Linked DNA regions of Xenopus tropicalis. The protein of the gene in region 2 interacts with the protein of the main gene of each other region in a biochemical or structural test. Links are inferred from orthologs where the notes say so. Each region holds a gene or a part of one and is shown on either strand. Other genes may lie near its edges. The genes, in order: pick1 and grm7.

Region 1 (4,576 bases), about 1.9 Mb from region 2:
CTGTAAAACCTAAAAAAGGGAGCCGTTTTGTAGTCTGCACCAAACATACAAGTGACTCCTTGGGCTGCACACAACATGTATTACTTCCTTATGAGAGGCTGAACACAACATACAAGTGTCTCTCTTATGATAGGATACCTGGTCACACACATACGGTAAGGGTATATTAACAAGTCCACTCACAGTTTGTCCTCTTCAAAGTCATAATCCAGATCAGAAAACATCTTAGATATTGCTGCTTACAAACTCTCTGCTGAATCTTTGGATTCCCCTTTTCGTATTCCCTCCTCTCCTGTCAAACACTGAACTGAGGTGAAAAAAAACAGAGAAATATGTTAGCAGTTCAATAACATTTGCTTTATTGCTTATGCCCCTAAAATTACTACTTCAGGATATAGTCCTAGTCCGACACTATAACATTACAGGAGAAACAGACAGTAATCATTATGGCTCCTCCCTTAATTATAGGTAATAATTATTATTATAACCAACTATACATATATTTTTTTATTTATTTATTTGAAGAAAGTCAAATGTTTGAACTGGTATAAAATGAGTTAAGGTAATATTCCATATGACAGTATAATTTAATTGAACTCTAAATTAATGACTGAATTGCAACCAACTCACACAGCAGTTTTTGTGTTTTGTGCACGCTGCTGGGTGGCTAACTCCAAGTCAGAATCATGTGTGTAACTTTCATTCTGGTAGTTCCAGCACAAGGTAATCTGGTCTGCATAAAAAGAGAAGAAAAGAGAATAGTAAGCTAAATGTCCAAGAAGGCACAATCACCAACAGCATTCATAAGGCAATTTAAAGGATATTTACAATAAATAACTGTGATGTCACATATGGGCCCAGTCCAACCATCTGGGCACATATTTGCTATCGGCTATTCATGTAGGTGAACGTGGCTGACTATAAAAATGAAAAAAAAAAAAAAAATCACTACTGCTGCTGCTCTGCTATTTGCATAAATGGTTAAATCACACAACACACAATCAGGTACAGGTATAGGACCCATTATCCAGAATGCTTGGGACCTGGGGTCTTTCCGTAATTCGGATCTCCTACCTAAGTCTGCTAAAACATTATTTAAACAGTAATTAGTAATTAAACCCAATAGGATTGTTTTGGCTCCAATAAGGGGTAATTATATCTTAGTTGGGATCAAGTACAGGTACTGTTTTATTATTACAGAGAAAAGGGAATCATTTAACCATTAAATAAACCCAATAGGGCTGTTCTGCCCCAATAAGGGGTAATTATATCTTAGTTGGGATCAAGTACAGGTACTGTTTTATTATTACAGAGAAAAGGGAATCATTTAACCATTAAATAAACCCAATAGGGCTGTTCTGCCCCCAATAAGGGGTAATTATATCTTAGTTGGGATCAAGTACAGGTACTGTTTTATTATTACAGAGAAAAGGGAATCATTTAACCATTAAATAAACCCAATAGGGCTGTTCTGCCCCCAATAAGGGGTAATTATATCTTAGTTGGGATCAAGTACAGGTACTGTTTTATTATTACAGAGAAAAGGGAATCATTTAACCATTAAATAAACCCAATAGGGCTGTTCTGCCCCCAATAAGGATTAATTATATCTTAGTTGGGATCAAGTACAGGTACTGTTTTATTATTACAGAGAAAAAGGAAATCAGTTTTTAAAATGTGCATTATTTGATTAAAATTGAGTCTATGGGAGTCTATGGAAGATGGCCTTTCCGTAATTCGTAACTTTCTGGATAATGGGTTTCCGGATAAGGGGTCCAATACCTGTATAAGGATAATTTAATTAAACATTAATGTAAAACAATATCAGTACAGGTATGGAATCGGTTATCCAGAAACACATTACCAACACATTCGAATTATGGAAAGGCCAGCTCACATAGACTCCATTATAAGCAAATAATTCTAATTTTTAAAAATGTATTTCCTTTTTCTCTGTAATAATAAAACAGTACCTGTACTTGATCCCAACTAAGATATAATTACCCCTTATTGGGGGCAGAACAGCCCTATTGGGTTTATTTCATGGTTAAATGATTCCCTTTTCTCTGTAATAATAAAACAGTACCTGTATTTGATCCCAACTAAGATATAATTACCCCTTATTGGGGGCAGAACAGCCCTATTGGGTTTATTTAATGGTTAAATAATCTTTTAGTAGACTTAAGTTGTGGAGATCCAAATTACAGAAAGACCCCTTATCCAGAAAACCCAAGGTTCCGAGCATTCTGGATAACGGGCCCCATACCTGTACCATGTTGTTGCACCAATATTTCTTTTCATTCAAACACAAAACATTAGCTTTGACTGGTTTAATGTAGTTATTAAAATAAAACCGAATAACCGGCTGCTATGAGTTAATGCCCTTTGGCCAGTTTTCCCCCATACTAGTAAAGGGGCAGCTAGCAGCTAGCAGGTAGCTATAAACTTCAGTATCCATAGTCCATAATGAGGCAAACAGTACAGGAAAGAAGCCTATAACTAATAACAGCTTATGGTTGTGCTTAATCATACAGTGCATTCAAGTAGTATCTCTCCAACAATGAACATATTTGCTCTGCCATCCTAATTACAGGCAATTTTAGTTACCCTTTATTATCTATTCCTGTAAGATAGTATCCGCTCTCCCAGCATGCAGTGTTTGATTTCAGGGAATAAAGGTCTCTAGAGAAAGCTGCCATATTACATCACCGCTACCTCCAGGCTACGTCATGAGTGTTGCAGAGAGCTTCAGAGTCAATGGATTCCCGCACGACTATCGGACAGCCGAAACGCCTAATCCCATGTTCCCGGGGGATTTACACAATCCAGCAGCTACCCAATCGCCATAATACCTGTGCTTATAACCCCCTGCACCTGCACCAGCCCTTACCTGTTTCATACGCCCGTCATCATTCCGCACGTCAGTTCCGCTTCGGCCGATACGCAGGCGCAGAAGAGCCTACCGACGCAGCGGCAGACATATTTGTATCGGCTTGTAAAAACCACTCGGGGTGGAAAGCACAGGTTTGAACAACACTCAAATATAGTGACATTTGTTATTTGAACCTTTATAAGCCGTAACTTCCGGTTGTTCACGTCTCACTTATGTTCTTGATGCTTGCATTATTCATTTGAGTCCACTTTAAAGATGGCGGCCACTGGTGAAGGCTGGGGGCGCTTCCGTTCTGACATGCGCAGTAGGTGACGCTGTATTTTTCCCTTGGCTGTGCTATAGATAGGGAGAGAGGCTAAAATGGCCAGTCAGGAGGATCCTGTGCAGAGAGAGATTCACCAGGATTGGGCCAACCGGGAGTACATCGAGGTGATCACCAGCAGCATCAAGAAAATCGCCGACTTCTTGAACTCATTTGGTGAGAGTGGGGGCGGCGCTGTGTCCTGCAGGGGATCCTTCCTAGGGCGTAGGGCCGGCAGGGCTGGGCACTGTATGCCTGGGCGATGGGCAGCGCCTGTGTATAGGATGCCAGCCTCTCCATCCTGCCCTGTTAACTGCAGCTCCCAGAATCCTCTGGGCCTTGTGCATCCCAGTAGCTGTACAGCCTCCAGTGTGACAGTGTCGCCTTGTTATTATCTTACCAATGGCCATGGTGCCTACACTATATAACCATGGCTTGCTACTCCATTACTTGTGTCAAACAAAAGCAATTTATACACTGTACTATATAGATCCCAGCATGTACATTGCAGTGGGTAATTACACTATATATAGAGTGAAGTGTAAGAGTGAAAGCAGCATTTACACTGGGGGTGTAATTAGTAACCTTATTGGGGATATTGCCCATAGTAACCGTCAGATCTTTGCTTTTGTTCTCTAACTGTTCAAATCTAATTGCTGATTAGTTGCTATGGGCAACATCCCTAGTGATGTTGGCTTTCACTCTGTAATAAATAAGCCCCATATGTCTATGAGCAGGGAGAGGGGGAGAATGAAAGCAGCATGTTACACTGTGTGAGTGAAAGCAGGTACATTACAGTGAGCAGGGGATGGAGGGCCCGCACAGGCTGTAGGAATGATGCAGTGATCATGGTGATGGTGGCTAATGGACCTGCCTCTAATGCTTCTTTCCTCACATCCACTAGTAATTGGGTCACTGGGATGCACTGAATCCAGGATTCTGCCAAGATTCTCACACAAATCTATGCCTCTCGCCAAACCTAATTCTTAAAATCAGGTGATTTTTTTTTTTTTAACCCTCAATTGTCCAATTGTCAGTTCGGTATTCAGCCAAATTGTTCACGAAGGATTTGGGGTTCTGCCAAATCCCCAAAATAATGGATTTGGTGCATCCCTATTGGCCACCTTTTCTAAGCAGTACATGAATCTGCATGGTTGAACCACAGAGTACATCCTGGTTGGCAGTATTTGCAAATTAGGGACACTTTGTTGCTGGGTGCCTTTGCCTTATTGTGCCACATCTGCCTCATGTGTGAAGCATAGTGCCATGGTTAAAGGGACCGTATGCCTTCTTTTTAAACATTGGATAATATATAGGTCTTGTGCTGAACATACTTTTGACTGTAAGGAAACGTTTATGGTTTTTTGTAAGCACCGCAGAAT
Region 2 (3,826 bases):
TTCTTTCCAGAAAAGGTGGCCACCATATTAAAGCCCACTATGTTTAAGTCTTCAAATCACTTGGCATCAGTTAGGACCCCCAATGAGCATACAGTCCTAGGCCCTCCAGCAATAAATCCTCTGATTCCTATTTCCACTGCTGATTCTAAATCTCCAGCTATTATGTACAAAGTTCTGGGCACCCATGCTCCAACTTTTGGGTTAATATGGCACAAGGCTGCTGGCCACATTTCCATTTAGTATAACTTTAGGAGGAACAACAAACAACTAAAATGCATTTCAAGGCATGGTCCTCACTTTTATTAAAGACAACAATGACTATAAATCAAGGTTATGGGTTTGATGATGATAAACTGTTGTTCCACATTGGCACTATGTTGTGCAGCTTTTTCTAAGGTTTAACTTCAAATCTCCAACCATAACAATGTCTGTGGGTTGGATTAAAATAGCATTACTGATTCCAAAAATAGCCTCTACCCATAATCCGCCAACATCTTCCTGTCTCTTAGAGATCAATGTTCTAGACCACGCCGGAGCTGTGCAAAGCCAATTACATACAATTTCCCCTCGTGCCCAGTTTTCAGCCTGCGTCTCTCGTCCACTAATTTCGCCAATGTTCATTTTGTCTAAAGCAGATGCCAAGATTATTTCTCCTCATCAAAATGATTTAGCTGCAAAAAGTCTGTTCCATTTCTCTGACAGCGTGGCCCCATTCATCATGCTGACAGGATACAATTGAAACAGATGCAACAATGAGACTAATAGCTCAACTGATTCTTATTGATCTGGTGCCATTTTGTCTAATTAATAGTCTACTGACTATCTGCTAAGAACTGTTCTATAGTGCGATACATGCAAGTGGATGTTTTCTTTATCTATCAAGCCTTTCGGTGGCATGTTCAAAGACAGCTTTGGTGCATAATTTATAGCTACAAAGAAGGCTGATTAATTAATGGAGGAGTAGGTGGGTGATAGCATGAAGCTGCCTGCCAGGGAATTCTGGTAGACAAATAGCTGTTTGCACAATACACTCCATATTTTGAAAAGCCGTTAGCCACATAAATCACATTCGGACATGGGAGGTCTGCAGTGTCCCGTTATATCTACATTTCAATATATTAGTTATAAATGTATTAGAAAGAGAAGTCATTCTGTCAACCAATCAGATATCTCCATTGAGCGCAACTCTATTTTCTTGCCACTCCAGGTACCTAATGTAGTTGGAGATATGAACAATTCATGTGCTGCCTTTTATAGACTCAAGCGGTTTGTGCTCTCAGCATCACAATGTGCTAACTCCTTCTCCTGCCACCGCCATTAACATCAGTGTCAGTAAAATGAATAGGAGATAAGAAACAGATCATGCAGATTTCTCACATTCTGATTCAGGTGCAAATGGACCGAGGACTGAATTACTGGCACTCCATGTGGCCATAATAGAACTTCGCAGTGGTAAACGGCTTGATGTTGCATTTCTGAAAATACTTTGCACATAATAGGAGCATTCTCCCAACGCTCTGTAAAACCCTGTACTGAAGATCTGGGCTTTGCCATCAGGATTATTATGTATTAATGCAACTCACACGTTTTGAAGAAGACATTGGGGGCCATGTTTATAAAAGAATGGATTTTATTTTATGCCAAAACGAGCATATCATTTGGTGTAAAATAAAATCCCTATTTATAAATTTGTGAGAGGGCTAATGCCAAATATCACCCCAATTTGTGTGTGCATAATTAATAAGGAATATGGCATTTGGGACCTAACATTTGATCAAATGAATGTTTTCCTCCAACTGAAAGCTGGCATTGGAGAATACCACTGTGTGCCGTAGGCCTACGCCAGAGTGACATAAAAACACATACCAAAACGCTACACTTCAAAGGTCCCAGCAAAGACTATGGAAGTGTTTAGGTAGGACCTGGTGCAAGCCTAGTAAGCCTGAATACTAGTTAGCATTGCCAGTTTCTAGGCAGCTTTACTAGACTGGCAGGGGTTTCTATATGAGGTCTTATTTGCAGCCAGTTTGCACGTGGCAATGTATAAGAATGGCAAAATTGTCATGATATTGGTCTCTTAAAAGGCAATGTGCCTTTTCCCAGAATTCCTGCACACCCCACTAGCTGTAAGCTATGCTTTAATACTGGTTTAAAATTTACACCCCAGTGTAAGGGAAGCATTTACTAAGTTCGATTTATTTTTTCACAATTCGTATTTTTTATTTTTGCGCAAAGTACGGTTTTGTTGCAGAAAAAGCAGTTTTTATCTCCATTTATTATGCAACAAAACTTGCAACAAATCTGAAAGATAAAATACGCCATCTAAAAGCTGTCGAGATCATGTAGAAGTCAATGGCAGGTGTCCTTTTTACAAATGGAAGATCTTTGCTTCGTGGTTTTAGAGGTTTTTGACATTTGTGCAACAATACGAAAAAGTTTTTTCCAATTTTTTTCCATTCAGATTTTTTAATAGATGAATAGACATTTGTGGCTATTGTGGAAACGAGTTTAGTGTTTTCAAAACTCTAAAACCATGAGAATCCAAATGTTGATAAACACCCCGTTAATGTTGTGCACCTATGAATAGGCCTCAATATAGACATCTTTGGCAATTTCTTAAAAGTGATCTTTACCAAAAACGTCCTCAGACTGTATTGCACTGGTTCAGGGATCTTTCAATTTCTTTCAGTATGTACAAATGTTACATGGAAATCCCCTTCAAAATGACCTACGTACCAAAAGGCTGTTTAGAGTAACCAGCCCAGACCATGACTGTAGATGAGAATATGAAGCATATACAGACACGTTTACTTACCTTTTCTGCTGACTGTGAAGTTCCAAAAAATATTGGGATGAAAGCCAGCCAAACTATACAGGTAGTATACATAGTAAAGCCTATCGGCTTGGCTTCATTGAAGTTCTCTGGTACGCCCCTTGTTTTGATGGCATACACAGTGCATGTCACCATAAGGAGGATGCTGTATCCCAAGGAGCATATGATTTGTAGATCTGTAATGTCACATTTCAGGACCCCTCTTGCCTGCTCCGGGGTCACTGTGTGCTGCCCATAGTCAATGATGATACTGGGAGGGGTAACTCCAAACCAAATAAGGACTCCTAACAGCTGGACAGATATTAAACTGGAAGTGATGGCCAGCTGCGAAGTGGGGCTGATAAGCCGTGGGGCTGTCACTGACTTTTTACCCTGTTCGAAAATCCTGTAGATCCTGTTGGTTTTGGTTAAAAGAGCTGCATAGCTGATGCACATGCCCAACCCCAAGAAGATGCGTCTGAAGGAACACACAGCCACATCAGGCTTGGCAATCATGAGGAAGGTGATTATATAGCAAAGGAAGATTCCTGTTAGCAGGACATAGCTTAGCTCTCTGCCTGAAGCTCTAACAATGGGGGTGTCGTTGTACCGTATAAAAGTTGCCATAACAAAGATGGTAGCAATGATTCCAAGCATAGCTAAGAACACAGGAATTACAGCCCAGGGGGAGTGCCACTCCAGCTTGATAATGGGGATGGAGTCACAACCAGTACGGTTTTTGTTGGGTCGCATATTGTAGTCACAGAGGTTACAGGTGAATTCATCCCGCAAGTACTTATAACCATCACACAACTCACAGTTCCAACAACAAGGCATGCCTTTAACCATCTTCTTCCTCTCACCCATCATACATGGCAAGCTGCAGACTGAGGGTGGGATCTCTCTTGGTCCTTTAGCCCACTGCATGTCTTCGATCTATGACAGAAAAATGTATACATAAAGACATAAATATTAGGGATAGACAACATTTGGCATCTCTCAATGGGAAGTCTC

The links.
Region 1: the proteins of grm7 (region 2) and pick1 form a complex in vitro, tested with the Homo sapiens proteins (2 studies listed by BioGRID, with this or other methods). The link is inferred for Xenopus tropicalis from reciprocal best matches to the Homo sapiens genes GRM7 and PICK1.

What each region holds. Positions count from the first base shown.
Region 1 is NC_030680.2:128,859,983-128,864,558, reverse strand, and holds the start of pick1 (PRKCA-binding protein), read right to left. Parts: upstream 2,801-4,576; 5' UTR 2,716-2,800; exon of another isoform or gene 2,608-2,715; intron 734-2,607; 5' UTR 631-733; intron 308-630; 5' UTR 225-307; coding exon of another isoform or gene 206-224; coding exon 184-205; intron 1-183. Other genes in the region: brk1 (protein BRICK1), read left to right, coding at 3,254-3,371. UniProt on the Homo sapiens protein: Probable adapter protein that bind to and organize the subcellular localization of a variety of membrane proteins containing some PDZ recognition sequence.
Region 2 is NC_030680.2:130,721,776-130,725,601, reverse strand, and holds part of grm7 (metabotropic glutamate receptor 7 precursor), read right to left. Parts: intron 3,749-3,826; coding exon 2,816-3,748; intron 1-2,815. UniProt on the Homo sapiens protein: G-protein coupled receptor activated by glutamate that regulates axon outgrowth through the MAPK-cAMP-PKA signaling pathway during neuronal development.